Linked DNA regions of Astyanax mexicanus. The protein of the gene in region 4 binds, or shares a complex with, the protein of the main gene of each other region. Links are inferred from orthologs where the notes say so. Each region holds a gene or a part of one and is shown on either strand. Other genes may lie near its edges. The genes, in order: castor1, wdr59, seh1l and mios.

Region 1 (7,385 bases), on a different chromosome or scaffold from region 4:
TTGCAACAGCCATTTCAGGTTAATATATCTAATAACTGATGGACACAGTAATATTTCAGGATTGAAATGAGGTTTATTGTACTGTAACAGAAAAAGTGCAATATGCATTAAACCAAAATTTGACCGGTGCAAAAGTATGGGCACCCTTATCATTTTATTGATTTCATAGCCAGGTGTATCCAATCATGAGAAAAGGTATTTAAGGTGGCCAATTGCAAGTTGTTCTCCTATTTGAATCTCCTCTGAAGAGTGGCATCATGGGCTCATCAAAACAACTCTCAAATGATCTAAAACACATGTGTCAAACACAAGGCCCGCGGGCCAGATGTGGCCCGCCACGTCCTTTTATGTGGCCCGCGAGAGCTTGTAAGATCTTAGTGTCTATAATAAATAGGTCAGAAGCGTTCTTTGACCAAAAACTACATTTCCCACAATGCTTGTCGATTGTATTACCCGCGAAGTTATGGCTTACTGCCACTACACGGCAGTGTAGTCATTGATGTGGAAACCCTGCTGGAGGGAAGGTGTAACTTCGCGGGTGGAAGTGAGACATATAAATGTTTATCCCATAATGTCCAGAAAAAGAAAAGTTGATGCAGACGGACGGCTGTGCTTCAAGGCGAAAGACCGGTATGCCTTTTGTGTTACGAAGGGTGTTTCTGACCAAAATAAACGCTTTTTAGAAGAGATATAATAGTTTTAATGACGTTAATAAACATCACAGTGACAGCGCTAGTCGCAGTTTCACCTCAGCAAAGGACGAGCACGTGAATCACTTATCTAACCAGCCTTTACTGATTTCAGCCCCCAATAACCCTTTCAATAACCTCCAATAGCCTTTAATAGTCTTCAGCAGCCTTCAACAGTCTAACCTTGCAGCCGTGGTGTGTCCACTAAACTCCGTAGTTATAAACATCCTGAGGTTAGCAGCGCGCTAACTGACCTGCTTTTAATGTAATCCGAGCAGTGCCTCCGTGACGCTGCTCTAAACTGCTGCTGTTAGCTGCTTGGGCTGAAAGATGAATTGTAGAGAGCTGTATTATCCGGTTAGTGGGGTTAAAACCTTTATTTTCTACACAGAAGAACTTAAACATTTTAAAAACGCTCCAGACTGGCTCAGCTGAGCCCTGTACCTGTAGCCCGTGACTGGGCTGTAGCTCTGACTCAGTAAAGACTGGGCTTGTGGTGCTGCTGCTGCAGCTCCCACTAGTGGTTGGATGAGGAACTGCTAAATCTGAGGAACTGCTAAATCTGTCATCTATGTTCTTAACAGCTCACAATTTTTGATTTTATATATATTAAGTCTTATTTCAGTATCAAACGTTTTGATCAAAGTTAATATAACTTGATGCCATTTCTATTCACTTGAATAGTTTGGTTCTTGATTGATGGAGTTTTTGGATTTCATAACATGAGGATTTATGTTAATAGAGCAACAAGCAAACATTTTTTCCATGCAACTGTAATATTTGATTGAATAAATAATATATTGAGAGTTATTTAACATTAAGGAGTAATTACATTCATTTTATATTACATTTGGTTACATTGTATTACATTTATAAGTTACATCTGGCCCTCAGAGGACAGCCAATATGCCAATGTGGCCCTCGGCCAAAATGAGTTTGACACCCCTGATCTAAAAACAAAGGAGCCTAGCGCATCCCAAATTTATTAACATTATTTTTCCCCCCTTACATTACTTTTACTTTTATACTTCAACTTCTCTGGACAGTATAGAGAGTATAGTTACTCCAACAAAAGCAGGATAAACTAAAAGTAGTAGAAAAAATGAATTAGCAGCTGTCCCATTACTTTTGTCCATATATTGTTTGTGCTGAAACGTGTAGTTTGAGAGATTTAGCCAAGCAGTTGGCTCCATCTAGTGGAATATATCTTCACTGCACATCAAAAATTGGGCAATACTAGTGCATCTCAAAAAATTTGAATATCATTGAAAAGTTCTTTTATTTCAGTAATTCAGTGCAAAATGTGAAACTAATATATTATATAGATGTATTAAACACACAGAGTGATCTATTTGAAACGTTTACTTCTTTTGTTGTTGATGATTATTATGGCTTACAGCCAAGGAAAACACAAACAATCAGTGTCTCAGAAAATTAGAATATTATATAAGACCAATTGGTACTTTTGTCAGTGTGGGCAGTGTGACAAGTCCTGCTGGGAAATGAAAGCCACATTTAAATAAAAGTTGTCAGTAGCAGAGGGAAGAAGCATGAAGTGCTGTAAGATTTTGTGGGAAAACAAAACTGCACTGACTTTAGACTTGATAATAAAACACAGTGAATCAACACCAGCAGATGACATATGTGGATTTCATTTTCCAGCAGGACTTGGCACACTGCCCACACTGACAAAAGTACCAAATTGGTCTCATATAATATTCTAATTTTCTGAGACACTGATGTCTGGGTTTTTTTTATCAGCTGTGAGCCATAATCCAATCCATAATAATACATCTATATAATATATGAGTTTCATATTTTGAACTGAATTACTGAAATAAAGTAACTTTTCAATGATATTCTATTTTTTTAGATGCACAAGTGTAATTACTCACACTGTCTCTGTGTTATTAAAAATCTACAACCTTTACCATTTTTTATTAAACCTTTTAATTAACTGAGACACTTTCCTTTACACAGTGCCTTTAATTCAGAATATGGAGTCCAGGATTTTAATTCCTACTAAGAGCTCACCTCTGCAATAACACAGAAGACTGCAGGAGACACACAGGAGACACACTGATGAAGATACTGGTGGATCTTCAGTGGATTCTCACTTATTCTGGACCAGAATGTATATCCTGAAATAAGCAAAAAAGAATAAATGTTAGTATTTGATTTATTAGCATTTGATATTTGATGTAAATCAGCAGTATTTGTTCATATTTGATGTAGAATCAGCAGTATCAACAGTATCAGCAGTATTTCTGTTCATGGCACATTATGTTTTATATGAATTATGTGTAAAGTGTGTATAATGTATAATGTAATGAATGTAAATGTAGTATTTCATGATATTATCATGATGCAAAGCTCTGCAGTGACATCAATTATGATCAGTTTTTAAAACATACACATTTAGTTAGTTTTATTGACTTTTGAGTCTGTGTTGTATGTACAGTATGTGATATGTTTGCAGGCTAAAAGTGGCACAGAATGCATCTGTGCCACTTTTACCACAGTGGCACAGAATCATTTCAACTCTTGTACATCCTGATCTGGAATACTGTGCTTATGTACAGTTTTCAACCCATTACCATTGTATTTGTTATAAATTAAATTAAAAAAAGGAAGAAAAACATTGAATGAGAGGGTGTGTGCAAACTTTTTAATCTCTATGAATTCTAATTTATCTTTTTATTATTTATTAATTTATTAATTTATTATTTTTTAACGTACCCATGGCATTTTGCAAAATGTTGACAGTTTAAGAACAATATCTATAAAAAAAATTAAAAAACATCCATTTCAACATAAAATAAATTAAATTGCAAAAGTAATTGCATAAAATAAACAATAATGTTTTTTAAATTTTAGGTATATTATTATTATGATTATTATTATTATTATAACTTTTACTGTATTATTATTATTATTATTATTATTATTATTTAATTAAACATCTCAAAATGTTTTTCATTTTACATTTTCTGAAAGACAAAAAAATTGTATTTTAAAGTAACGGGTTTTATATTTTCTGTATTATTATTATTATTATTATTATTATTATTATTATTATTATTATTATTATTATTATTATTATTATTTATACACCTTTTACTATATACTACTACTACTACTACTACTAATAATAATAATAATAATAATAATAATAATAATACTGCTATTTTATTTACGATATAATAATAATAATAATAATAATAATAATAATAATAATAATAATAATAATAATAATAATACGTTTTATGTATTATTTAATTATTTGTTATTATTTTTTAACATACCCATAGCCAATTCAATAATTCAATATCTCAAAATATATATTTTTTACATCAAGTAATTATTATTATTATATTATAATATTATTATTTACATAACTTTTACTATATTATTATATTTTTATATAACTTTTACTATATATATATATATATATATATATATATATATATATATATATATATATATATATTATATATGACTTTTTATATATATATATTATATAACTTTTTATATATTGTTTTATATAAATTTTACTATATATATATATATATATATATATATATATTTATTTTTTTTTTATTTTTTTTTTTTTATTAATATAATTAGTAGTATATTTTTATATAGCGGCAGTGTGAAGAGTACCGGTACCGGGGCGCTGTAGCTTTAAGGCGGGGTGGGGGCGTGTCCGCTGCTCGGTCTCTCAGCGCAGTGTTGCTCCAGGGTCGGATTTCCTCCAGCGGGTTTTTCTCCTCCTGAAGCCGCCCTGCAGCTCTCTCTCTCCCGGCAGCATGCCCGCCGAGCTCCCGCTGCACCGCTAGCTGAGTCCCGCGGTCAGGGCGCGCTGTGTTCAGAGGTAGGAGGGATCTGAGTAGCGGTTAGAGTCTCCAGCAGCAGCAGCAGCAGCAGCACGCGGCTTCCTGAGCTCAGGACCTGCCATGGACCTCCACATTCTGGCCCACAGACTCAGAGTCACCAGTATCAGCAAGAGCGGACTGCAGAACTACACCCACCCCCTCATAAAGCTCATCTTCCTCAGGAACAGGACGAGGTAGGTTCTATTCCAGCACTGCTGCTGGTGATTACTGGAAGCTGGCTCATTTCCCTGTTCTCCCACTTTAACCCATGTGCTGTTTTAGAAAGGGTTACTAGATCTTTCCTCAGCCTTCTCCAGCTCATTTTGCATTTGCACCACTAGGGTGCATGTTCATAGCCCAAAACCACTAACATTCTCACTCTCTTGCAGTCTGATATTATTATGTTTTCCCTTTAACATGCTCTACTAGAAGATCTAGTCCCCTGGATTCTTACAAACCTCAATGTTCAGACTCATTTTGCCTTTGCACAACCAGGATGTATGTTTTAAAGCCTGTCTTCTCAAGCTTATTTTGCCTTTGCACCACTAGGGTGCATGTTTATGTTTTTTCCCCCCAAACCGCGAACATGACTTTCTTGCAGCCTGTTGTTATTGTATTTAGGCCCTTTATTATGCTTTTGCTAGAAGATTTACTAAATACCTTAGTGTTCAGGCTCATTTTGCTTGTGCACCACCAGGATGCATGTTCATAGCCTGTTTTCTGTAGACTGATACAATAAACTTCCTTGTAGATATATATGTAGATATATATACCAATGTGATTCTCTCTTGCAGACTGTTATTATTATGTTGTCCATCTACATGCTCTACTAGAGGATCTGGTCTGCTGGACCCTCTCAAACCTCAATGTCCTGGCTCGTTTTGCCTTTGCACCACCAGGATATATGTTCATAGCCTGTTTCTGTAGACTGGTACTAATGTGACTCTCTTGCAGCCTCTTATTATTGTGTTTTTTCCCTAAGCTTGCTCTACTAGAGGGTCTGATCTGTTGGACCTTCTCAAACCTCAATGTCCAGGCTCATTTTTCCTTTGCACCACTAGGATGCATGTTTATAGCCATAGAACCAATAATGGCAGTCTCTTCTTTAAATTCCTACAATTAATGCCCATGCACCACAAAGTTATTATTAGGTTTAGACCCTTTATTATGTGCTACTACAGGATCTGATCTGCTGGACCTTCTTAAACTTCAGTGTCTCCACCATTTTGCCTTAACACCACTAGGGTACGTGTTTGTAGCCCTAAAACTACTCACAAAACTCTCATGTAGTCTGGTACAGTGAGTTTCTGTGCACCACCACCTTATCATTAGGTTTAGGCCCTTTAGCATGCTCTACTAGATGATCTGATCTGCTGAAACCTCTCAAACCTCAGTGTTTAAGCTCATTTTTACTTTACACCACTAGTATGCATGTTCATAGCCTGCCTTCTGTAGACTAGTACAACCAATGCCCATGAACCACCATGTTATTATTAGGTTTAGGCCCTTTAGCCCACTCTACTATGGGATCTGATCTACTGCAACTTGTCAAACCTCAATATCCAGGCTCATTTTGCTTTTGCACCAGTAGGGTCCATGTTTATAGCCTGTGTTCTGTAAAGTAGTAAAATCAATGCTCATGAACGATCATATTATTAGGTTTAGGCCCTTTAGCCCACTCTGCTACAGGATCTGATCTACTGGCACTTCTTAAACCTCAGTGTTCAAGCTCATTTTTACTTTGCACCACTAGTATGCATGTTCATAGCCTGCCTTCTGTAGACTAGTACAATCAATGCCCATGAACCACCATGTTGTTATTATTAGGTTTAGGCCCTTTAGCCTACTCTACTATGGGATCTGATCTACTGCAACTTCTCAAACCTCAATATCCAGGCTCATTTTGCTTTTGCACCAGTTGGGTCCATGTTTAAAGCCTGTCATTTGTAGAGAGTACAATCAATGCTCATGAACCATCATATAAATAGGTTTAGGCCCCTTAGCCCACTCTGCTACAGGATCTGATCTACTGGCACTTCTTAAAACTCAATATTCAGGCTCATTTTGCTTTTGCACCAGTAGGGTTCATGTTTGTAGCCTGTGTTCTGTAGAGTAGTACATTTTAATGCCCATGAACCACCATGTTATTATTAGGTTTAGGCCCTTTAGCCCAATATGGGATCTGATCTACTGCGACTCTTCAAACCTCAATGTCTGAACTTATATTGCTTTTGCACCAGTAATGTCCATGTTTATAGCCTGTGTTCTGTAAAGTAGTAAAATCAATGCTCATGAACCACCATGTTATTATTAGGTTTACTCCCTTTAGCCCACTCTAATATGGGATCTGATCTACTGCGACTTCTCAAACCTCAATGTCCGAACTTATATTGCTTTTGCACCCGTAGGGTCCATGTTTATAGCCTGTGTTCTGTAAAGTAGTAAAATCAATGCTCATGAACCACCATGTTATTATTAGGTTTAGGCCCTTTAGCCCACTCTGCTAACGGATCTGATCTACTGCAACTTTTTAAACCTTAATATCCAGGCTAATTTTGACTTTGTACACTAGAGGGCATTTTCTTCTTAATAATTTTGGTTTCGGAGTTTTCTATGAATCCCTTTTTACTAGATCTTTTTCTCAAGCCTTAGAGATGTTCAGGTTTACTGTGACTTTGCACTATTAGCTAGGATTTATGCTCATCATTTATGCCACAGAACCACTAACACCACTGTCACCACTCTCTTCTCTGGCTTGGTAATACCATCAATGCCCCGTAACCACCCTGTTATATTTAGAGTAAACTTCCACTGGAAGGGA
Region 2 (7,973 bases), on a different chromosome or scaffold from region 4:
AAACATTACCACCCACTGTGCTGTCCACTGTGGGTGATAATGCCTTCTATGACGTTTTAACTTCAGCAATGTATTGTCCCATCAATCTGGTGCCAACTATTTCAGGCCTCACTAAAACTGCACTAATTCATATTGACTTGCTACTTCACTCACAAGATAGCACCTCATAACCTATCCCATGACTTTTGGCAAGTCATTATAAGCAGTCAACTTAAAAAGGTTTGGCATGGATTGTGTCTAAAAAGTTAAACTCCCACTCCCCAGAACATTAATATACAAAATGGATATGAATACACTGCCTGATAGCAGAAAGGTTTTTAAAAGCTGATACCTAATAAAATGTATATATTTTTTACCACTTACTACCATTTTATCATTAATACTAAATGTCATATTTGTGTACATTAATATCCAAATATTTTATTTATTTAGCAATTAAACTGGTTATATTTGCACTGCTGTCATTGTCCAGTCACCACCAAGGCAAATAAAATATCAGAATTGATACGTTTCAGAACACCAAACTCACTCCCCTTTACTTACATCTGAATGTATGAATTCTGCAGACATGTATTCATTATATCTGTGAAAATTACAATTTTCTAAAATAATGATAACTTTCCTGAAATGCACTCATACTCACCAACAGATCTAGCAAATCAGCTTCGATGCTAGGTAGTGGGGTCCTCCAAAACTGGAAACTATTAAACTCTGAGCTCTCCGCAGCATTAAGAACACTTGGCTCTGCTGCACTGTGAACATCAGTGCCTAATTTGTTTGAAGATTTCTGGAAATGAAAAAAAAATAATAATAATTAATTAATTAATTAATTAATTGATGAGATGCCTTTAAATTAAAGTACCAGTTAAAAAAGGCAGAACAGTTTTACTTTAGAGGGAAGGTGGAATCCAGCAACATTCACCGGGGCTTCTGGGTGTCTTTGTGTGCTGCATACCTCAACCTAAAGTTTAAGCAAAGATAAACTGTGTAAACTTATCTGCAGCTTTTTAAAATGCTATTTTAAATGAAGTATGTTTAAATATGCATACCTGTGCTGCAGGTGCTTTCCTCAAATGTTCTGCCCCAGCATTCTCCAATTCCAGCTGGTAGGTTAAAGCTAAGACCTTGATGTCTGTTGCTGAAAGGCTGGGGTAATCTCCTGTCTTTTTGGCAAATTCAGTGACTGTAAAATAAAAAGACAATTTTAGCATGGAAATACATTAAGTTTCTATAGGGAATAATGATATTCCCTATGAATGCAGAAAAACAGATTGAATCCCCCTGGAAATGATGAAAGGACGATTTTTTTAGGCATGCAAGCTAAATATAATTGTATTGCCATGACATTAAAAAGCAATCTACTGTTCTCAAACAAACATGGACAGTGACATTAAACCAAGTTTATACTTACATTAAAAACATACATTAAGATACATACAGATACAAAACATACATACAGAATTGTTGGAGGAAAGTGCGGCGACTCGGTTCCGATACAACAGCTCATAGATGCCTTGTGCTGATCGACATCACCCTAAGAATCGTGTGGAGAGAAAGCTCCATCCATCCACCCACCACCCACCCAGAGAGCGCAAGGCCAATTGTGCTCTCTCAGGGCTCTGCCAGCTGATGGCAAGCTGCATGTCCGAGATTCGAACCAGCGATCTTCTGATCAGACCGCTAGACCACTCAGTGCCCAAAATTTCACTATACTTACTTAACATTATATTACTTATTTTTATTTTGTTTATATTGTGTTTTTGTCATTAAAATAAACTATGTATGTTCCACTCACCTGCACACCTGTATTAATGTAAGTCTTTTCATGACACACAAATATTTAAAGCAATGTTTTGCCGCACAGACATCAGTGGCAGATTCTTACACACATGTATTCAGAGACTCATTTAATTTATATTATAGTGTGGGGTTTTTGTCATTTTGTAAACAAAATGTCTTTTTTTTTTACTCTCTTTAAAATGTATAATAAGTGATAGAATGAAATATCGTCATATTGTCTACCTCTGTAAAGCTAAATTATATTTCTTTACATTTTCTAGTGAAAATGTTGCTGATGTGAATACTCACCAAAGCGCACATGCTCTGGGAATGGGTCTTTATAGATGAGCTGGTAGGGTAGGAAGGCCAAGTTCCTTTTGGTTTGTTTATCCCGGATTTCATTCACAACCTCCTTCAGAGTGTAAATATTCTTCCCAATCTCCTAAAACATGGAGAACAGAACAAACATGTCACTTACAATTAGCCATAAAACACACATACATAACAGAGCCATGATATACCCTGATATAAGAGTAAATGCCATAATATCACTGTAGTTATTGTGGATGGGAATCACAGACCATCGCACTTTAACGATGATATAATAATACTGGGATTCTGTGGTACTCAATATATTACAATGATACTACATATCAATATATCGATAAGTCACTTAATGGTATCTGTGTTACTGAAGAGGATAAAACACTTATTTTATGGGTATATGTTTGAGTATAATAAACAATGATGTTTTATTCTAAGGACAAAACTTTTCCCAAATTCCAAATAAAAATATTGACATTTAGAGCATTTATATTTTTTTATAATTACTTTTAACTGAACTGAACAGGTTTTCGAAAGACAAGCAACTAATAACATTTTTACATTATAATTTCCCAAAACAAACAAACAACAAAAAACAAAACACCCCACACTATCAACCCCATCCCATCCCTAATACCAATCTTGAGCTGCCTTATGGTTAAAAAAAAAATTGGGTTCCAAATTTTGTAAAAGTTTTCCGTTGATCCTCATTTAGAGCATGTATTTCCAGAAAATGAGAAATGGCTGAAATAACAAAAAAAGGATGCACAGCAGTTTTTGTGCATCTTGGCATGTTCTCCTCCACCAGTCTCACACACTGCTTTTGGATACTTTATGCCACTCCCGGTGTAAAAAAACATTTCAGCTTGGTTTGGTGCCTTGTGATCATCCATCTTCCTCATGATTATATTTCAGAGTCTCTTATTTTTTCTAGTGCTGTATATACACAAACCCACTCAGAGCCCGTGCTCATGCCCACCTGGAGCCAAACTACCCTTATTCCACCCATGTGAGCTCCAGATTAGTATACACATGTTGGCAAAAAAACAAGTTTTATTACATTAGAAAACTAGACAAATTAGTTAGCGGCTTTATTATTAGGCTAGGCTAAGCTAAGCTACGCCATACAGCTAGCTAAACACGTGTAACACAAAAAAAGCCCCTGTGAGACTGGGAATCTGGTCATCTGACCATAAGCTGGGTATTTTACTATAAAACAGTGTAAATGCGGAGTCTCCCAGCCTTTAAACTCACGTGTAAAGGAGCTTTTCTCAAAAAAGCTGCAGCATCAGCCACAACATGCTCCACCGTGGCCGCTGCCATCTTCAACGCTCACCCACATCTCGCGAGAACACACAAACACGGTCATCATCTCTGGAAAAGAGAACATGTACTTTAGAGAATGTGTTCTGAGTTTGTGAGACCATTAGAGGGCGCTTCCGAGAGAGTCAAAATGAATGGGTTCAAATGGAGCAATTGAGCAAAATCAGAGTTTATAAATGTTTGATCACTTTTGAACTGGAAATTGTTCTCATTTCTTCAACACAGAACATTATCAGATCTAAAAACTCCAGTTATAAACCTTTAAAAAACACTCTCTGGCTGTGTCTTCATCAGAGATCTGGTCAAAAAGGCAAATTATCTGGGGTTGTACTTAAGTACTAAAAGACTGTATCTTTACTGCAGTATTATAAAGCTTTTTCTTTGTTCTCCTACTTCCACTTTTACTTCACAAAATATTTTCCATTAGTTTAATACCTTTATTCCAATAAAAGTATAACAAAAAAAACAGAAACACCACATCATCACTTACAACACCTACAACACATTCAATACCTACACCACCTTCAACATCTACAACACATTCAATACCTACGCCACCTTCAACACTTCAACACCTCAACACATTCAACACCTACAGCACATTCAATACCTACACCACCTTCAACACATCAACACATTCAACACCTACAGCACATTCAATACCTACACCACCTTCAACACCTCAACACATTCAACACCTACAGCACATTCAATACCTACACCACCTTCAACACCTCAACACCTTCAACACCTACAGCACATTCAATACCTACACCACCTTCAACACCTTAACACATTCAACACCTACAGCACATTCAATACCTACACCACCTTCAACACCTTAACACATTCAACACCTACACCACCTTCAACACCTTTAACACCCACAATACCTTCAACACCCTCAACTCCTTCAATACCTTCAACACCCTCACCACCTCCAACACCTTCAGCACCCTCAAACCCTTCAATACCTTCAACACCCTCACCACCTCCACCACCTCCACCACCTTCAGCACCCTCATCACCTTCAATACCTTCAACCACCTACACCACCTTACACACTCTCAGCACCCTCACCACCTTTTATACCTTCAACCACCTCCACCACCTTCAGCACCTTCAATACCTTCAACCACCTCCACCACCTTCAACACCTTCAGCACCCTCACCACCTTCAACACCTTCAGCACCTTCAACACCTTTAACACGTTCACACCTACAAACACCTACAAATCCTCCACCACCTTCAACAGAAGTAATGCTAGCTTGTCTACTGCCTAAAACCGGTTTACTGTAGAACAATTTAAATACGCAGGCAGATTTTTTTAATTATTTGGTAAAATACTTTATTATACTTTCTAAAATTAAAAGAAATGTCCAGATAAACAGTTACAAAATATTTTTAGTTAGAGGATTTTGCCGATTAGCTCAATTCACCCCATTCATTAATGTCTCCCTCGCGGGCTCCCTCTAGCGCGTGCAGTCATGTACTGATATAACTGTGGAAACAGGAAGTGGGCAGTCTCGCGGTAAAGCGGCTCTGGTTTGTTGATGTTTTTGTCGGGGGCATCATGGCGGCCCGCTGGACCAGTGAGAATGAGGTGGTGGAGTTTAGGGACGCTCAGGTACAGAGTTTAGCTCGTGTTTATGGTTTAGACTGTCCTAAATTCTGCTATAGCTGCCCTTCTTTCCTTGTGTTGGGATACAGACAATGACAGGCTGGTGTGAGCTGTGTGGCTGTGGAAGTTCAGGAGCTAACTAACCTTACTAAAGCTGCAGACTGCTTCTTTATTCATTAATTCAAACCAATTGACTGTATTAAATTCAAATGTACTCAGTTAATCTAATGCTGTTTCAGCTGCAGAAAAACCTGAAAGAGGATATAAGATATAATAAGCAATGAGAGTTCTGTATAGGCCTGTAGTATAGCTAACTACAGTATATGAGTCATGGCCAAAGTGTGCTGTCTTTAAAATGTAAGTTAAAACCCATATATTATATAGATGTATTAAACACAGAGTGATCTATTTTAAGCATTGATTTCTTTTATTGTTCATAAATATGGCCTACAGCGAATAAAAACCCAAAAATCAGCGTCTCAGAAAAATAGAATGTTACAGTATATAAGAACTATTGGTACTTTTGGCAGTGTGCCAAGTCCTGCTGGAAAATGAAATCAGCATCTTCATAAAAGTTGTCAGCAGAGGGAAGCATGAAGTGCTGTAAGATTTTGTGGGAAAACAAAACTGCACTGACTTTGGACTTGTTATAACACAGTTGATCAACACCAGCAGATGACATGACTCTCCAAACCATCACTGACCAGAGTCTGGATGAAGAGTGGAGAGGCACACAAGCTGCTTGAGGTCTAGTGTGGAGTTTCCACAATCGGTGATGGTTCAGAGAGTCATGTCATCTGTTGGTGTTGATCCACTGTGTTTTATTATCAAGTCTAAAGTCAGTGCAGTTTTTTTTTCCCACAAAGTCTTACAGCACTTCATGCTTCCCTCTGCTGACAACTTTTATGGAGATGAGGATTTCATTTTCCAGCAGGACTTGTCACCCTGCCCACACTGCCCAAAGTACCAATTGGTCTTATATGATATTCTAATTTAAAATTTAGGGTGGGTTTTCATTGGCTGTAAACTATAGTCAACAATAGTCAAAAATAAAATAAATGAACACTTAAAATTGATCACTTTGTGTGTAATAAAACTATATAATATATAAGTTTCACATTTTCAACTGAATTAATTAAATAAAGTAACTTTTCAATGATATTCAAATTTTTTGGAGATGCATTAGTACACTGATATTAAAGTAATTTTACAGTATTTAATAAATTTTCTTCATTATTCCAATGCTGTTTCAGCTTTAGTAGAGGCAGAGAGAGGTTAAAAGGCTGTAATAAACAGTGAGAACTGTAGTTCGTATGCTAGATGAGTAATAGCCAAAGTGTGCTGTTTTCATTCAGTTGCAGTAGGAGTGAGTACACTGATATTTAGGTTGTTTTACAATAGATTTTTTTAGTTAATCTAAGCCTGTTTCAGTTTCAGAAGATCCAGAGAGAGGTTAAAAGGTTGTAATAAGCAGTGGGAAGTCTGTGAAGACCAGTTGTATAGCTAATAACTAACTAGCAAGATAATGTGAAAGCCTAGATCAGTGAGGAATAACTTTATTACACTTCATTTCATCTCTAATTTCCTGTGTTTGCGTTTTTCTCAGGCTACTGCAATGTCAGTGGACTGTCTCGGACACCATGCTGTTCTGTCTGGGTGTGTACTGCCTCACCTGCATGTGGAATGTCCTCTGAACAATCCTGCCCTCATTTGTCTTTATACACACACACACACACACACACAGAAACACACACACATAGCTGACCCCTACACTGTTTTTGTTGTTCTTCATTTTAACTATGCTATTGTAATGTGATTAATATTTTGGTGGTGAAATAGTAAAATAAATTGATTAAAAAACTAATTGAAAATGTGAACCTGTTTTAGGAGACGCTTCTTGTATGTTGTGAACTTGGAGACTCCTTCAGAGGCTCCCCGAAAAATAGGTCGTCAGAGTAAGTGGGACGTTGGGACTGTGCAGTGGAATCCTCACAGAGCAGAAGCTCATCTGTTTGCTGCATCAGTAAGTGTGAATGTGTATCACAGTTAGGAGGGAGTTTAGTGGCTTAAACCACAATAAAAACATTCTGGCTGTAGATGAGCTACTATGGAGGTTTCTTGTAATAATACTACCACTGCCATCTAAGAGTACACACTATCCACTAGTCAGCAACTGTGTTCACTGGTTGGCAGTGTTGGTGGGAGGACAGCCTAAGCAGTAGTGTGTTAAAAAACATCCATGCACAGGCAGGGGAAAAGCAGAGCAACATATTCTGTGCTAAACCCAATTCACTTTATTAGTGTGGACTAGGGGTGGGTGATATGGCCCAAAAATAATGTCACAATATTTCAGGGTATGTTTGCAATGATGATATTCAAAATTTTTGCCAATTTTATGGCATACAATACAATATAGCACACCCCTAGTGCGGACAATTTGCTCATAATGAAAGAGTTAAACTTACTATAATGTAAATTATAAAGCTAAAGGAGGCTTAATGAAATATTAAAGTGTGTGACCTTTTATTTAAGGTAGTGTATCAACAGAATACTGATTGATTTCCAAATGCCTATTCTTTTTACAGTGATTATTAGGGCTACATAATATATTGTTTTTATATCTTTATCGCATTGTATGCATGTGCAATAGTCATATTAAAGACTATTTAAAGACTATATACAGTTTAACATGGCAAAAATTAAGAGCTAGGGTATCTTTCCATTATGAGAATGATTTGGTTTAATTACATTCTTAGTGTCTTTAGTATTGCACACTTTAGTGTATTTTTTACCAATTTAAATGACAAATGTCACTATAAGCATTTAAAATACCTTGTCAATACATACCTTTAAACTGTTTTGGACCACATGGACATGTGGACTGTACGTGTACTCTGTACTATTTAATATACTTTCTTTGCATGC
Region 3 (7,219 bases), on a different chromosome or scaffold from region 4:
CATGCAGCAGCAGCCTCCTAGCCTGCTTACGCAGCGGATAAGCCGCGGTGTAGGGCAGCAGAAATTCCGGGATGAAAACACAAAGAAATCTGGGGTGAAAACACAAAAATCCGGGATAAAAACACCCAAAATCCGGGGTGAATATGTCTTGTCGGTCAGAGCAAATTGAAAATTTTTCAGTGGATTAAAGGGGCCGTGATTTCCTTTTTTTTTTTTTTTTTTACCTCTTATTTTAAAAACGAATATTCGAATATTCGCTTCGAATCAGTGCCGAATATCCGGAGCTCAAAAAACGCTATTCGGGCCAGCCCTACTAAAGTAAAAGTATTTCTGGATACGCCACCATTCATCTCTGTAGAAAAGTTTATTTTTATGTTTATAAACTTGAGTATTGGGTGTCAGTGATCATTCATTTTTATTTGATTTTTTTGCTGAACTAGTCCTTTAATGTCATTTTCTCATGCCAGTACAGTTACAGTATAGAAGACACTGCACCTAAAACAGAAACCATCAAGTAAAGCTGATACAATTTATTAGAAAAAACACATTTATCCATATTTACTGTTAAAAAATATTATATAATATTAATAATTTTAATACACCTGTGGCCATAGATCACAAATTAAAAACATAAAACTGGCTGACTGTCCACTGCAGATGGATACTGAAAACACTGAAATATTATTTTGATTAGAGCCTTAAGAGAATGACAGGTGTTGCACCTTATGCTGTAATGAAATTCTGTAACTTGTATTAGTTTCACAGAGAACAATTCAGCAAATCATCTCCTAGTTTTGTAAAACAGTATTACACAGCCCTATGAAACATTATATTTTCTTTCTGACTACAATTTGCCCTGTTGTCTTATTAACATTACACTATAAATCATCTTGCACTTTAAATATTAGGAAGGTGTTGGTTATGAACAAGTTATCCACGTTTATTTAACTGCGTTTCAGAGCAGAGCAGTTTCTGCAAATAACTGCTCTAAATGACAATATTTTTATTAGAAATTTGGCACGAATTGTTGTCTGAGTAAAATAAACATTGTTTTATTCTATAAACTACAAACATATACCTATAAATTGCAAAGTCAGAGAAACTGATACAGAAGCTGAAGTGGTCTCGTATTTTTTTCAGAGATGTATCTTCTAGCGTTAGCTATCTTAGCTTAGCTTAGCTAATTCACTTTACACTAGCGCTACATACACTCCATGAACATAGTTTTAGCTTAGCGTAGCCAGGTAGCAAAAGTACCAGTCAGCATGAATTCAGGATTAATGACACTGAACACTAAATCAACTGGCGGTATCATTGGACATGTTCTTGCCTTAAAGTTTGTGTGGCGGCTGCTGTTGGGGGTAGGCTAAAGGCGCTAGCTTAGCTTAGTTTAGTCAGTTTCACTCCTTGAGAGATTTGGGAACTAGCTAAGCTAACGCTAGCTAAGTTAGCAAAGTTAGCTATGAGGCACATATTTAGGTTACGTTGCAGGTGTTTACAAAGGGAACTAATTTGGGTTAGTGCATTTCCAGTGGTATTTCATGCGACTGTAATGGTAAAATCCACACCGTTCACTATGGTTTTCGAGATGTTAGCGTTAGCTAGACAACATTGAAGGAGTTCAAAAAGGCAGAGGGGAAACGCTTTTTCATAAATTAATATTATACTGTGTCAGCAGGCAAACCGTGCAGTACCAAATATTTAGCTTGCTAGCCAGTATTGCTCATTATATTAAGGTTCACTGAGGATCCTCTGCTACCAGTGTGAGTAAATTACAAGTAGAACCTAGCTAGCGTTAAAGTTAACGTTAGGTGAACCTAGCTAGCTAGAGATAGCTAAGCTAACCTAGGTTAACCAGGTTAGATGTGTAAAATACAGTGTCCCGCTTTTCTCTTTCTTTCTCTAAAAACAGGAATTAACCTACATCTCAAACATGGATACATTCAATAAAACTAAACATTGTGTAACCTACTAAAGCTTAAAGCGATTTTTTACTATTTAGCTAGCTAGGCTAACGTTAGCTAACACATATCAGAATTTAGTTTGTTATGTACTGATATGTCTGGTTAATGCAGAGTTTACACTAAACAGTTTTAATAGTTAATAGCTAACCTAGTTAAAGTTTTAAATAAACAGTGCCCTGTCAATCATCTTAGTCTTCTTATAAACGTAGTTTGTAATAGAGAGCATGCACTTTGATGGCTGCAATTTGTTATTATGCCGATTCTCAGCATCTATATTACCTACCCCCTACCCTATCCCAGTCATCAAGTTTTTTATTTTATTTAGTCAGCCTTAATTGCGGTACACTGGAATGACACGCGTAAAAAACACATTCAGCTAGTACACAGCTGATAATGAAGATGTGGAAGTTGAGAGTAAGAAAGTAGCAGAATCAACAAAAACCCTTACATTTAGTTTTACACTGACATTAAGCTTAACTAAACTAAGTTAAATATCTCACTGTTCAGTAACTTAACTTACCTAGGTTAGCTCAGTACAGCTGACTATTTGAGAAAGTACTGCTAGTAGAGTAGAGTCACGCATGTGTATAATTTGCTAGTTTAATATTAAACTCAGCTATAAGGTTGGTTAATAAACAGAATTTTAATGCTCGAAAAAATATTTACCATGTAGAGGTTATGCCACCGGCCTTCTGAATCGATGTCCTGAAACTCGTGGTCCATTTCTCTGTTTATTCAGACTCTAGTCCGGTATAATAGAAAATAAACAGCCCTATCATAAAGGATCAGTCATTTCTACCGCCGACATTAAGCCACGAACATAAAAAAAATAAATAAAATAAAAACACACACGCACACACTCACTCACACACTCCACTCTCTCTCTCGGTCCGGGTTTCCCGTGTTTGACATCTAGCTGACTGAATTGCGCAGCAAATCGGCGCTCCATTTGCGCAGACCAGCGAGCAAAACAGAAAATAAAAGTACAACTCCAAAAAAAGAAAAAATACGTAGAATTATTTAGACACCAAACTCCAACTATCTGAAACTGCAATAGAAATATTAAAATGTGTATTTTTAAAATATATTTATTTTGACAAGAAAATACCTTTTAGCTTATACCGCTCCCAAAATATGTTAGCCAAAATATGCACTACAGCCGTTTGTTACGAATCAAATTATGTGTAAAAAGTTAACTAGAAGCACAAAGCAGGCACAAAACAAATTTAAACATTGAAATTTTTTTCATTTTAGTGTTTTTGCTCTTTTAATAACCATTACAAATAAAATAAATTATTTAAAATAGTAAGGGGATTAAATAAAAATATGTACTGTATATGAACTAATAATAAAAACAACTGATTAAAACATATTTTTTTTCTATATGCTTAAAGTAAACTCAATATGAAAGTTATTTACAGAGTCCAGAAACCAATCTTTTAAATATTACTGCGCCACTTTTCGCTTTGTGTAAAATCACCCCAGTCCAGCGGGTGGCGCCTAAACATTTCCAAAAGAATCTAAGTTGGAAAGTGATATAAAAATAAACATACATTTTACAAATGAAACTGTAAAAATAACGACAAAATACTCGTTAATAATAATCTTACACTTAAAATAAATGTTAAAGTAAAAATACAGTTCAATGTAATGTAACTAGTACAACCTGCACATAAAATGAAATGTACATGAAACAAAAAGTAAAAGTATAAATGAAAGTCCAAAATGTTGTGAAACAAAAACATAAACTAGGAAAAGTATCGAAATAGAGTAATCTATTTTTTTTTATTGGAAGACTTCTGATCTACAAAACTGTAGGGAATTACCAAATTGTAAGACAGCAATGTATTATGAAACAACACATTTACTCAATTAATATACAAAACATAACAATAACATAACAGAATGAATTATAAATTATAATATTTATAAAGCATTATTGAAAACAGGCAATAACAAACTGGCAATAAAAATAATTAGTTCACTTCATTAGTGTGGTTATCTTTATGTAAATTGTAAGGATCTTTAGCAATTTTAGATTTCATTGATTTTAGGGAGTTGAATTTCTTTATGGTAGCATATAAAGATGTGTGGTGTTTTTTTATACGTTAAATCAATAAAGCATTGATTAAAAGCTCCACCTTTGGATATTCTACTATGACAATTATTGTAATATTAGAGTCTAGATTGTGGAGTTCAGACCGAGGCGCTGTCGGGCTGCTGTTGCTCCTCCAGTCCTACTGCTCTGAGAGCGGCGCTGCTGAGTCTCTGACTGGCAGGAAACAGCAGTGAGCGGTAAAATGGCGCATTGCTGAGCGACCCGCCAGAAGTGAGCAGAAACATTAAAAAGTTTAAAGCGGTGTTCTGTATTTACTCTGTTTCTGAGAGCGAACAGGGATTCAGTGTTTTCACAGCGATCAGGAACGGAGAGTAGAGGAGCATGTTTGTGGCGCGAAGCATCGCTGCAGATCACAAAGATCTGATCCACGATGTTTCCTATGATTTCCACGGCAGGAGGATGGCGACCTGCTCCAGCGACCAGAGCGTGAAGGTAAACACACCCCTTCACTTTATTCACCTATATTCACCCCCCTTTTAACTTACCATATGTATGGAATGCAGCCAAATTTTACAGAGCATATAGGTACCTCAGAATGTATGTTGTTAATGCTAAAAGCAGAACAGAGAAGAGCGAAATTCATCGTTTCTAAAAATGAATAGCTATATTCGTTCTCACAATGTTTTTTGTTAAACAAAAAGGTGACAAGAGTCTTCACATTCATTTCTAAGGTAGAAGTATAGATACTGGGGTTTAAAGTACTTCTGTAACAGTTAGAAGTTTTAACTCAAGTGTAAAAGTAATGCTTTTAAAACTACTTAAAGTATAAAAGTAATGTAAGGGGGGAAATGCCATTAAGGACAAAAGTATAGGTTGTGTTATAGCAGCCTATAGTTAACTACTCCCTGCTCCCCAAAACACATTTTTGTAAAAGCCATAATGACTATAATGTAGGGGTGTGCCATATCGTATCGTACGTGATAATATCGCCAAACATTTTGCCCTGAAATATCGTGACATATCACCCACCCCTAATTATCACATTAGGGTGCTCCTTTTTGTGCTGTTTTTAGCAAAAGAAAAATTCACACTGTTCTCATTTCGTATTATATAGCTACTAGAGACAGATTAGATCTGTCCAGTATAATTTATTTTACTTTAATCCTGAATATTTGGAGTGCATTATTAGTATCATGACATTCTGGATCATTTACTTCTGTTATAAATCTGATAAAATAATATATATATATATATATTTTTATCTTAGTTAGCCATATCATATTGCATGCAGCTAAATATTTTTTCTAATTTAGTGTTTTGTCATATCGCCAAAAGTATCACTATCGTGAAAATACCATGAAATATTGTGATATTTTTTTAGAGCCATATCGCCCACCCCTACTATAATGTTATATTGAAATGTTAAAGTTAAAAATCTTGAGATACGCATATATGCCCATTAAAATAGTTGCATTTAAGTGCATTTTGAATATTTTCAAGTAGCTTAGGTAGGACAGTTTGGTCAAGTTTGTTTATTTATTTATTTTATATACAGATCATCTTCACACTAGATGGAGAGAGTTATAAGGATAGGGTTTTTTTTAATGATGAGAAGCCAGAGGGAAAAACAAGCTGAAATTAAATATGAATAATGAGGCTATTTTAAAAATGGAAGGAGTAGAAGTAAAAAGTTGTTTAAAAAATAATTACTCCAGTAATGTATAGATTAGAAATTTCTGCATAAGTAAGGCAACAAAGTATTTGTACTTCATTACTTGAAACCTGTTAGTTTATGGGTTTCTGAAGCATATTTCAGTAGATTTGTAAAGATAAATATTACTGTAAAATCGAGTAAGATCTTTTAAAATATGATTAACAGAAATGTTTGTCTTGCTTGAAGGTTTGGGACAAAAGTGACGATGGAGAATGGCATTGCACAGCCAGTTGGAAGGCAAGTTTTTAATTTTACTACCTTTTGTTCATATCTAAAAAAGTACACAAACCTACAGATTGGGTATTAAATTATGCACAAGTTATGCTTTAACAGTAACATTGGGTTTGGTTTCTGTTGGTTTCTTTTCAGACCCACAGTGGCTCAGTGTGGAGAGTGACGTGGGCTCACCCAGAGTTCGGACAGGTGCTGGCGTCCTGCTCTTTTGACCGCACCGCAGCAGTGTGGGAAGAAATAGTCGGCGAATCCAACGACAAACAGCGAGGACTTAGTCACTGGGTAACACATCTAATAATTTACTCATTTATAGTAGCAGTCATTTTGGAGCCTGAATTGTGTCTGCACTGGTGTTCACATTACAGTAACATTTGTAGTACAGTGTCATAAAACAAATAAGCAGGTCTGCTGGAGATTCCTTTCCAACAACTACACATGGTTTGAAGTACATTTCTAATGATTTGGGTATGATGCTGTATATTAGGATCTAAGCTTCCATTTTTTTTCTTAGATACATTAACCTCATAGTGTAAAGAACCGTCCAGCCTTCTCCCATGTTTTTAAAGCTGTGAATAGAGATAAGGTGTGTAAACTTCTTCTGCAATGCTTTACAAGTATAAATACGAAATTGGGGTGCTGAGTGGTCCAGCGGTCTAAAGCGCTGCCACTATGACCGGGAGGTCGCCGGTTCGAAACCCCGCTCATGCAGCTTTGCCATTAAGCTGTCGGCGCTTAGAGGGAGCACAATTGGCCCTGGCCCTGCTCCTTCTGGGTGGGTAGATGGCGCTCTCTCCCCACATCATTCCTACGGTGATGTCTGCAGCACAGGGCGTCTGTGAGCTGATGTATTGCCGAGCTGGCTGCTCGGCAATGCTGCATCAGCAGCAGCTCGAAAAGAAGCGGTGGCTGACTTCACATGTATCGGAGGAGGCATGTGTTAGTCTTCACCCTCCTGGTGTGTTGGGACATTACTAGTGATAGGGGGAGTCCTAATGAGTGGGTTGGGAAATTGGCCATGTAAATTGGGGAGAAAATGGGGAAAAATTTGAAATAAAATTATATTAAAAAAAAAAAAAAAAAAATTGTACAGTAGAGCTCTCTGTGATGTTTGAGATTTGTCACCAGTAGTAAAATACAGCGGTCTGTGATGAATGCCATTTGCTGGTTTTAGTATTGAAATATTGATTTCATGTCCGTAATCAGTACTGATTAGAATCTCATCATGCAGATCAAGAGAACAACTTTGGT
Region 4 (7,019 bases):
ATATATATATATATATATATATATATATATATATATATATATATATATATATATATATATATATATATATTATTTTATATTATATTCCATTATACTATATTATATTATACTACATTCCATTATATTATATTGTAATATATCATATTATATTATATTATATTACTTTATATTATATTATATTATATTATATTATGCAAAAACAACACTGGAAAATAACTTAAAACTGTGTTACATAGATAGATAGATAGATAGATATATAGCTAGATATAGATAGATAGATAGATATATAGCTAGATATAGATAGATAGATAGATAGATAGATAGATAGATAGATAGATAGATAGATAGATAGATTGTTATTAAAATGTTGGTTATTTAGCAATTGTCATTGATATAGTAATAATTTTGCAATTGTTACCATAAGCACCAGTACCATTTTTTTCACAACATATATGTATATATAGATAGATAGATAGAATATTATATTGTTTTATATTACAATACATTATATTATATTATACTATATTATATTATATTATACTATATTATATTACATTATATCATATTAAATTGTATTATATTATATTATACTATACTATACAATATTATATGTTATATTATGTTATATTATATTATATTATATTATACTATATTATATATTATATTATATTATATTATGTTAGATGTTGGTGGTCACGTGACTGCAGTGTGTTTGGAACGCGGAATGTTGATGACGTCGCTGCTGCTGATGATTTACACACAGTTACAGTACAACTTAGTACACTACATTGATTCCACCTGTATAACACAAGGCTAATGAATGATTAGCGACCCATTTCGGTCACAGTTTGTGAAATGTAGCACTCGGACTTAAAGAACTCATATCTTTAGGTCCATTTGCAGCATTTATTATGATTATGTGAGGAGTAAAGTGTACATTAAGAAACATTAGCAGTGTTCACATAATCCACAGTGAGGGCAAATCAGTTTTCCATGATATGAAACCTTTAATCCACACTATTAATACAATTTATTCAACAGTATTAATTATCCTTTTACTTCAGGTGGCGTGCTCCCTTAAGGAGTTTAACCAGTATGCAGACTACCAGAAGTACACTAAGCCAAAACAGCAAGAGCTTCTTCTCCCAGACGTGGTAAGTCAGCTTTTAATATTCTCAAAGAAAACGCAGATCCTTAAAACATCTTAAATTAAATTTAAAATTAAATGAAAATATCTTAAATCAAATTACCAAATATTAGAAATGCAGCAGACAGTCAATTCAATTTCACTTTAATCTCCTACTAAAGACAGTAAAGAGCTGAAGCTGATATTTACAAAATCTAAATAAAAAAACAATTTACTTTTATTCGATCAGAAGAGTGGGATCTGAACACAGAGTGCAACCCTTCTACCAAGTGGGCGGGGTTTAAACACAAGACTAAATGAATCACCCAAATCTTAACATGTGTACTAATTATTAAAATCCAATACTTTGTTTATGAAAAATGATACAGTATCGCAAATCAAAATATTGAAATACTTATTTTTAATGATTTATCTACAATTTCTTGCAGAGGGTGTCTCTACCACCTGTGGAGGAAGTTGATACCTGCACTCTCAGGTTGGAGGTCACCTCACCCAAATCTGTAACAACAGAGGAACCTTCAAAGGATGACATCCCAGTTGGTAAGTAACAGAAAACGCTAAATCAGTATTTCTTGATCTTTACACTGCAACTGCCTCCTCCAGTCCCCTTCATGGATAAAAGCATCACTAAAGTTCCCTCTTGAGTGGCAAAAAGAGACAAAGTGCCATTTTGACTGCCCTTCTTGTGTAAAGTGGCCACTAGAGTGCCCCTTATTTCAGTAAACTATGATGATGTGCTCTTTACATAAAGGAATTGCTATAATGTGTCTTACTGAGTGCCCAACTATGGATGCTCTTCTGCCCTTCTGGTAGAAAAGGGTGCCTCTATTATTATTGTGCCCTTTACACATCCTAAACCCGCCACTGCTCATGACTGTTAAACTGAGTTCCACAATTTAATACATTCATAATAAAATATTGTCTTCTTTTCTCTGCAGGCCCAAAAAAGATCAAAGTCCTGGCCTTCTTCAAGAAAGCATGGAAAGCAGTGAAACGGCCGTTACCAGGAGAAGCCCCAAGATTTCTCCTGACAGCTAAATTTCCCCATTTTCACCCTGTTTCTATTTTTTACTTTCTATCTTCTATCACTTCTTTATTTATACTTTTCTGTATTAATGAAATGATTTGGTCAGTGTAATCCTGTAGACTAATTTATGAGCTGAGCTCCATCGTTACAGATGTTGAGCTTCTAGTATAACAGAGTTTTAGTGCAGTTGACCAAAATAACCATAGTGGTCACTGTCTAATGTCTAATTGGCTGTTTAGTATTAACTGACTATTTCAGCTCCATCATTATAGATGTTGAGCGTTTGTATAGATTTAATTCGGCCCAGAGATTTAATCAAAACATAAAGATTAATGCATAGATTTAATTCGGCTATAAATTTAATATCATGCAGTTTACCCAAGTTCGGGAGCAAAACAACACTGTATGTTGTCTCTTTGACTGCTCAGTATTTACTGATAATCTAAGCTCCATCTATATAGATGTTGAGTTTTTTTATATCAGTATATTTGTGCAGCACACTGAGCAGCAGACATCCCACTTCTCCCGTGACTTCGGTCGGTGATTCTAGCGCATATTGATAAAGAGCCCCTGATGCCTCCAAATCATCTACAATTTGATTAAGAGATGCAGCTAAAAGTAAGACTGAGAGTGCATCCTGATTGGCTGCTGCTTGTATTTAGAATTATCACTGAGCTCTGTGAGCATGATTTAGGCTCCACAGCTAATATTGAATTTAGTTTAGAGGGGATATCTGGGCACAGGTAAATTCATTATATATTGTATAAGTACTGTAGATGATTTGCAGGCATCAGGGAGCCACTATATAAAAACACTGTATATGTGGTCTTAAAGTGACGTCATATCATGAATTAGTCATATGTGGTTTAGACCAGAGGAGGATGGGTCCCCCTTGTGAAGCCTGGTTCCTCCTGAGGTTTCTTCCTACAGGGGAGTTTTTCCTCACCGCTGTCGCCTCGTGCTTGCTCACTTGGGGTTTTGTAAAAATCACTAGACTAATAAACTTGATGTGACGTCACTTTAGAGAAACCACATAACAGCAAACTTAGCCCTGACCAAATCATTTCATTATATACTGATTCTTCACCCCCCACCCCACCCCCCCATTGAAAAAAAATCCAATTGAATCATTTAATTTTTAATTTCTAATAAAATTCGAAAATTGAGAAATATTAATGCTGTGGTTATTTATACATTTGTGTTCTTTCAAACAAACTTTTTTTCATTTGAAAATAAGATTTTATTGACATATACATCTAGACAACCATAGACACTTAGGCTAGTCCTGAGTATTGATCAGATGTGGGAATTTATGAGGTATAAGTACTGAGTTACTGTAATTACCAAACTATGCTGAAGTTTGATTCTTTAATATGATTTAAATTGTTTCTAAAAGGATTTAAACTAGTTTAATGTGAGAAACTGACAAATACCATCAGAAGTGCCTGACATAGAAACAGGCTCTTAGTGTTAGTCACATGTTCAGGATAAAGACTCTATCTATCTATCTATCTATCTATCTATCTATCTATCTATCTATCTATCTATCTATCTATCTATCTATCTATCTATCTATCTATCTATCTATCTATCTATCTGAGGTGGGGGTCTATCTATCTATCTATCTATCTATCTATCTATCTATCTATCTATCTATCTATCTATCTATCTATCTATCTATCTATCTATCTATCTATCTGTCTGAGGTGGGGGTCTATCTATCTATCTATCTATCTATCTATCTATCTATCTATCTATCTATCTATCTATCTATCTATCTATCTATCTATCTTCACATAGAACAGGGGCGGTGGGACTTTTATTTTGAAAGCGCGCTTTATTTTCTAGGTTAAAAGTCCTGCTCGTATTCGCAGCAGCGGCAGAAAGTTGACGGAGTGTTGAGGCAGTAAGTTTGGTGTTTGGCTGCGTGCGCGGTTGTGTTTAGATGTGGGTGTGAATAAACCGCGCGGTGAGGGCTAGGAGTTCAGGCTCCGGGGGAACGACGTGGTTCTGTGGAGCTTTATTCACCCGAAATGACATGTAACCGTGTAGCTTAGTTTAGCTAGGTTAGCTAACCGGCTAACTAGCTTTAGCTGACAGTTAGCCCATAGCTTAGCTTAGCTTCGCTTGTGTCAACACTGTCACAGTGCAGCAGCAGCAGCTCTCTCTCTGATATGAAATTTATTTATTACGTTAATTTCGCTACTTAACAGCTAGTTTTTTTACCTCAGGATTGTAAGTTACTAAATGCGAGTTACAGAACTGTAGCAGTATAGCTGCTGAATTGACATGTTAGTAGTGGGGTTGTAGTTAACCTAAGGTTAACTGCCTTTAACCAGAGTTAAACCAGATTAATGACAGTTATTTGTAGTTTTACTTAACGTACTTTACAATAAGAAAACAGGCTGCTGAATGATTTATCTGGCCTTAAAAGGATTGTCAGTTTTGAAGACTATGTCTGGAGTGAAACAACGTAGTACATACAATTTAAACACAATTAAAACGGATTATTCCTAGATATTGGAGGTATTTTTAACTCCAGATAAAAAAAAAAAGAGTCTACATATTGATTTAGTTAGTTTTTATTGTGATATTTACTTATTGGACAATGAGTAAAGTGATAATGAGAACTATAAAACAATTATTGCAGGTATAATTTGCGAAGGATTCTAGGTTTACTTGTCGAGACATAAAAAAACGTTAGATCATGTTTGGAATGAGAAAAAACAATGAGAAAAGTAAAAATAAAAACTCATAAAATAAGTATTAAAACATAGATTTTGGATATGTTATTACTTTAGAGAAAAAAAGAAAAACAACAGCCTTAAAATTGATTTTGGATTTCTGGACTAAAAAGTGTTTTTATAACTTTTTAGACTATATCTGGACTAAAGTAGTGAGTCGTGCAGAAGAATGCTTAGCTATTGTCAATTGAAAGTCACATACATTTGTAGTGAATAGTTGTAGTTAGTTGTAGAGGTGGGCGATATGGTAAAAATGATATATTGCCCGATTTAAAAGCAATTTAATGATACGTGATGTATCACCAATTTTTTTTTCAATTCTGCGTACAGTGATTTTTATTTATTCTCTATTTCCTGCACTAACTTTTGTAATGAAATGTTCAGCAGGACAATATTTATGAAGCACTGACCGTGTTCAAGATAAAGTCAGTTACTATAAAGCATTGTCATATTGCCCGCAACTAGTTGTTGTAATGATGAGCGGTTCCAAGCCAGATATCCTGTGGTCTCCACATCACGCGGACCGCTATGTGATCTGCGATTCCGAGCTCAGTCTCTACAGAATTGGTGCTGTTGGGACTTCAGAGGCCAAAGCTGGAGCGCTGCCGCTGTCTCAGGAGACGGCAGCCACTTTGCTGGCCATCAACTCCGACACCCCGTACATGAAATGCGTGGCCTGGTACCCGAAGCACGAGCCCGAGTGTCTGCTGGCTGTCGGTCAGGCCAACGGCAGAGTGGTGCTCACCAGCCTTGGCCAGAGCCACAACTCCAAATGCAAGGAGCTGGTGGGGAAGGAGTTTGTGCCCAAACATGCCAGACAGTGCAACACCCTGGCCTGGAACCCTGTGGACAGCAACTGGCTGGCAGCTGGTCTGGATAAGCACCGGGCCGACTTCTCTGTCCTGATCTGGGACATCAGCAGTAAGTATTCTCCAGAGGCCGTGCCGGCCGAGAAGCTCCGTCTGTCGGGGGATGCCGATTCCGGGATGGTGGTAACGAAGCCTCTGTATGAGCTGGGGCAGAACGACGCGTGCCTGTCCCTTTGCTGGCTGCCTCGAGACCATCAGAAGCTGCTACTGGCTGGTATGCACCGCAACCTGGCCATCTTCGACCTGCGCAACACCAGCCAGAAGACCTTCGTCAACACCAAGGTAGGGATATAAAAGAGTTCAGGTGTTGATTTTGGATTTCCCAAAAGCTTCTTACCACAAAGGTGATTCTCAGGCTACGTTCACATTACAAGACACATTGCTCAAATTAGATTATTTGCTCAGATCGGATTTGGCTATTTTGATAGTTCACTTTCACAAAAGTAAGTGATCTTACAAAGCACAATGCATTTAAAACAGCAGTGTGCTATTCTAATCATTAATTCATCTCAGCAGTGCTATTCTTATTACAGTTACCTCAGGAGTCCTATTTTAATCATGAATGTACTTTATACTGTTACCTCAGCAGAGCTATTTTGATCATGATTTTACTTCAGAGATGCTGTTCCTATCATGCGTTAACTTAAATTAAGCAGTGCAGTTTGAGCCTCTTTATTGGAATTTATGGGAGCAGAATGAATTGCACACAGCAGTGCTCTGATAAGCAGCGCTAATGGTAGCAGTAAAGAAGGAGCTTGGAGTTTAAGCCTTCTAAATAAAGTTATGTAATAACAAAAGTTTGGGAGAAGGACCACGCCCGCACTCCATGCTCTAACTCCACTCCCTATTAATCAACCGCCCTATAAATACCTGCCCTAAATAACTACCTAACTAATATAACTTATGACGTATAGATAGACATTTTTTTTGTGGACGAAATACTATCCCAGAAATCGTTGCTATAAACGATATATAAACGTCACTGACTTAATGATAATAGTACAGCATAAAAAAGCAATTATTCCCTTTTAAAGGCAATGTATACTCTTTCCATTAACTGCTGCAGCCCAAGATTTTGATATTCTTCAAATATATGATCGATTGTCGATTACAATTATGATTTTTAGAAAAAAAAAATTCTAAACAAACAGCTCCATTTGAAGTGATGTGCAAGCAATTATTTCCAAAATAAAATAGGATTGATTAATCAAATTACTGTTTTAATTCAAATG

The links.
Region 1: the proteins of mios (region 4) and castor1 are in contact, whole or in part, in a cryo-EM structure (PDB 9LVK), measured with the Homo sapiens proteins. The link is inferred for Astyanax mexicanus from reciprocal best matches to the Homo sapiens genes MIOS and CASTOR1. Residues at the interface, in NP_001357005.1 of Homo sapiens: Ala83, Asn84, Val109, Pro110, Lys111, His112, Ala113, Arg114, Asp134, Lys135, His136, Arg137, Asn184; in NP_001032755.1 of Homo sapiens: Val94, Ser116, Thr117, Tyr118, Gln119, Thr120, Asp121, Thr188, Tyr236, Leu255, Thr256, Ser257, Ser258, Ala295, Tyr296.
Region 2: the proteins of mios (region 4) and wdr59 are in contact, whole or in part, in a cryo-EM structure (PDB 7UHY), measured with the Homo sapiens proteins. The link is inferred for Astyanax mexicanus from reciprocal best matches to the Homo sapiens genes MIOS and WDR59. Residues at the interface, in NP_001357005.1 of Homo sapiens: Asp705, Trp710, His711, Arg713, Ala714, Ile718, Ser721, Lys728, Pro729, Leu730, Ala731, Gln732, Val733, Phe734, Val735, Ser736, Cys737, Asn738, Phe739, Ile744, Lys780, Pro781, Leu782, Pro783, Leu787, Cys788, Leu789, Gly793, Pro795, Gln819; in NP_085058.3 of Homo sapiens: Tyr871, Arg876, Glu877, Arg879, Ala880, Glu881, Leu883, Lys884, Pro889, Pro890, His893, Lys894, Gly895, Ile896, Glu897, Phe898, Gly899, Val900, Tyr901, Arg906, Glu908, Val909, Arg910, Thr912, Phe922, Gln923, Ala925, Ile926, Cys927, His928.
Region 3: the proteins of mios (region 4) and seh1l are in contact, whole or in part, in a cryo-EM structure (PDB 7UHY), measured with the Homo sapiens proteins. The link is inferred for Astyanax mexicanus from reciprocal best matches to the Homo sapiens genes MIOS and SEH1L. Residues at the interface, in NP_001357005.1 of Homo sapiens: Arg279, Arg316, Ser317, Phe353, Glu354, Arg355, Ile356, Ser357, Leu358, Ala359, Trp360, Pro362, Leu366, Met367, Trp368, Ala369, Cys370, Gly371, Arg372, Leu374, Tyr375, Glu376, Cys377, Thr378, Glu379, Glu380, Glu387, Asp389, Ile390, Ala391; in NP_112493.2 of Homo sapiens: Met1, Phe2, Val3, Ala4, Arg5, Ser6, Ile7, Ala9, His11, Lys12, Asp13, Leu14, Ile15, His16, Asp17, Val18, Phe20, Phe22, His23, Gly24, Arg25, Met27, Trp47, Ser173, Ser174, Ser175, Asn230, Leu231, Gly232, Arg233.

The regions. Positions count from the first base shown.
Region 1 is NC_064429.1:31,870,062-31,877,446, forward strand, and holds the start of castor1 (cytosolic arginine sensor for mTORC1 subunit 1), read left to right. Parts: upstream 1-4,379; 5' UTR 4,380-4,645; coding exon 4,646-4,758; intron 4,759-7,385. Other genes in the region: nipsnap1 (protein NipSnap homolog 1), read left to right, coding at 2,670-2,734. UniProt on the Homo sapiens protein: Functions as an intracellular arginine sensor within the amino acid-sensing branch of the TORC1 signaling pathway. As a homodimer or a heterodimer with CASTOR2, binds and inhibits the GATOR subcomplex GATOR2 and thereby mTORC1.
Region 2 is NC_064416.1:13,643,288-13,651,260, forward strand, and holds the start of wdr59 (GATOR complex protein WDR59), read left to right. Parts: upstream 1-4,969; 5' UTR 4,970-5,000; coding exon 5,001-5,054; intron 5,055-6,654; coding exon 6,655-6,704; intron 6,705-6,935; coding exon 6,936-7,071; intron 7,072-7,973. Other genes in the region: RNA-binding protein NOB1, read right to left, coding at 644-787, 890-961, 1,050-1,183, 2,089-2,221, 3,358-3,426. UniProt on the Homo sapiens protein: As a component of the GATOR2 complex, functions as an activator of the amino acid-sensing branch of the mTORC1 signaling pathway. The GATOR2 complex indirectly activates mTORC1 through the inhibition of the GATOR1 subcomplex.
Region 3 is NC_064410.1:33,194,237-33,201,455, forward strand, and holds the start of seh1l (nucleoporin SEH1), read left to right. Parts: upstream 1-4,213; 5' UTR 4,214-4,404; coding exon 4,405-4,515; intron 4,516-5,923; coding exon 5,924-5,974; intron 5,975-6,106; coding exon 6,107-6,253; intron 6,254-7,199; coding exon 7,200-7,219. Other genes in the region: ptpn2b (tyrosine-protein phosphatase non-receptor type 2), read right to left, coding at 2,631-2,687. UniProt on the Homo sapiens protein: Component of the Nup107-160 subcomplex of the nuclear pore complex (NPC). The Nup107-160 subcomplex is required for the assembly of a functional NPC.
Region 4 is NC_064408.1:116,461,561-116,468,579, reverse strand, and holds the start of mios (GATOR complex protein MIOS), read left to right. Parts: upstream 1-4,016; 5' UTR 4,017-5,391; coding exon 5,392-6,069; intron 6,070-7,019. UniProt on the Homo sapiens protein: As a component of the GATOR2 complex, functions as an activator of the amino acid-sensing branch of the mTORC1 signaling pathway. The GATOR2 complex indirectly activates mTORC1 through the inhibition of the GATOR1 subcomplex.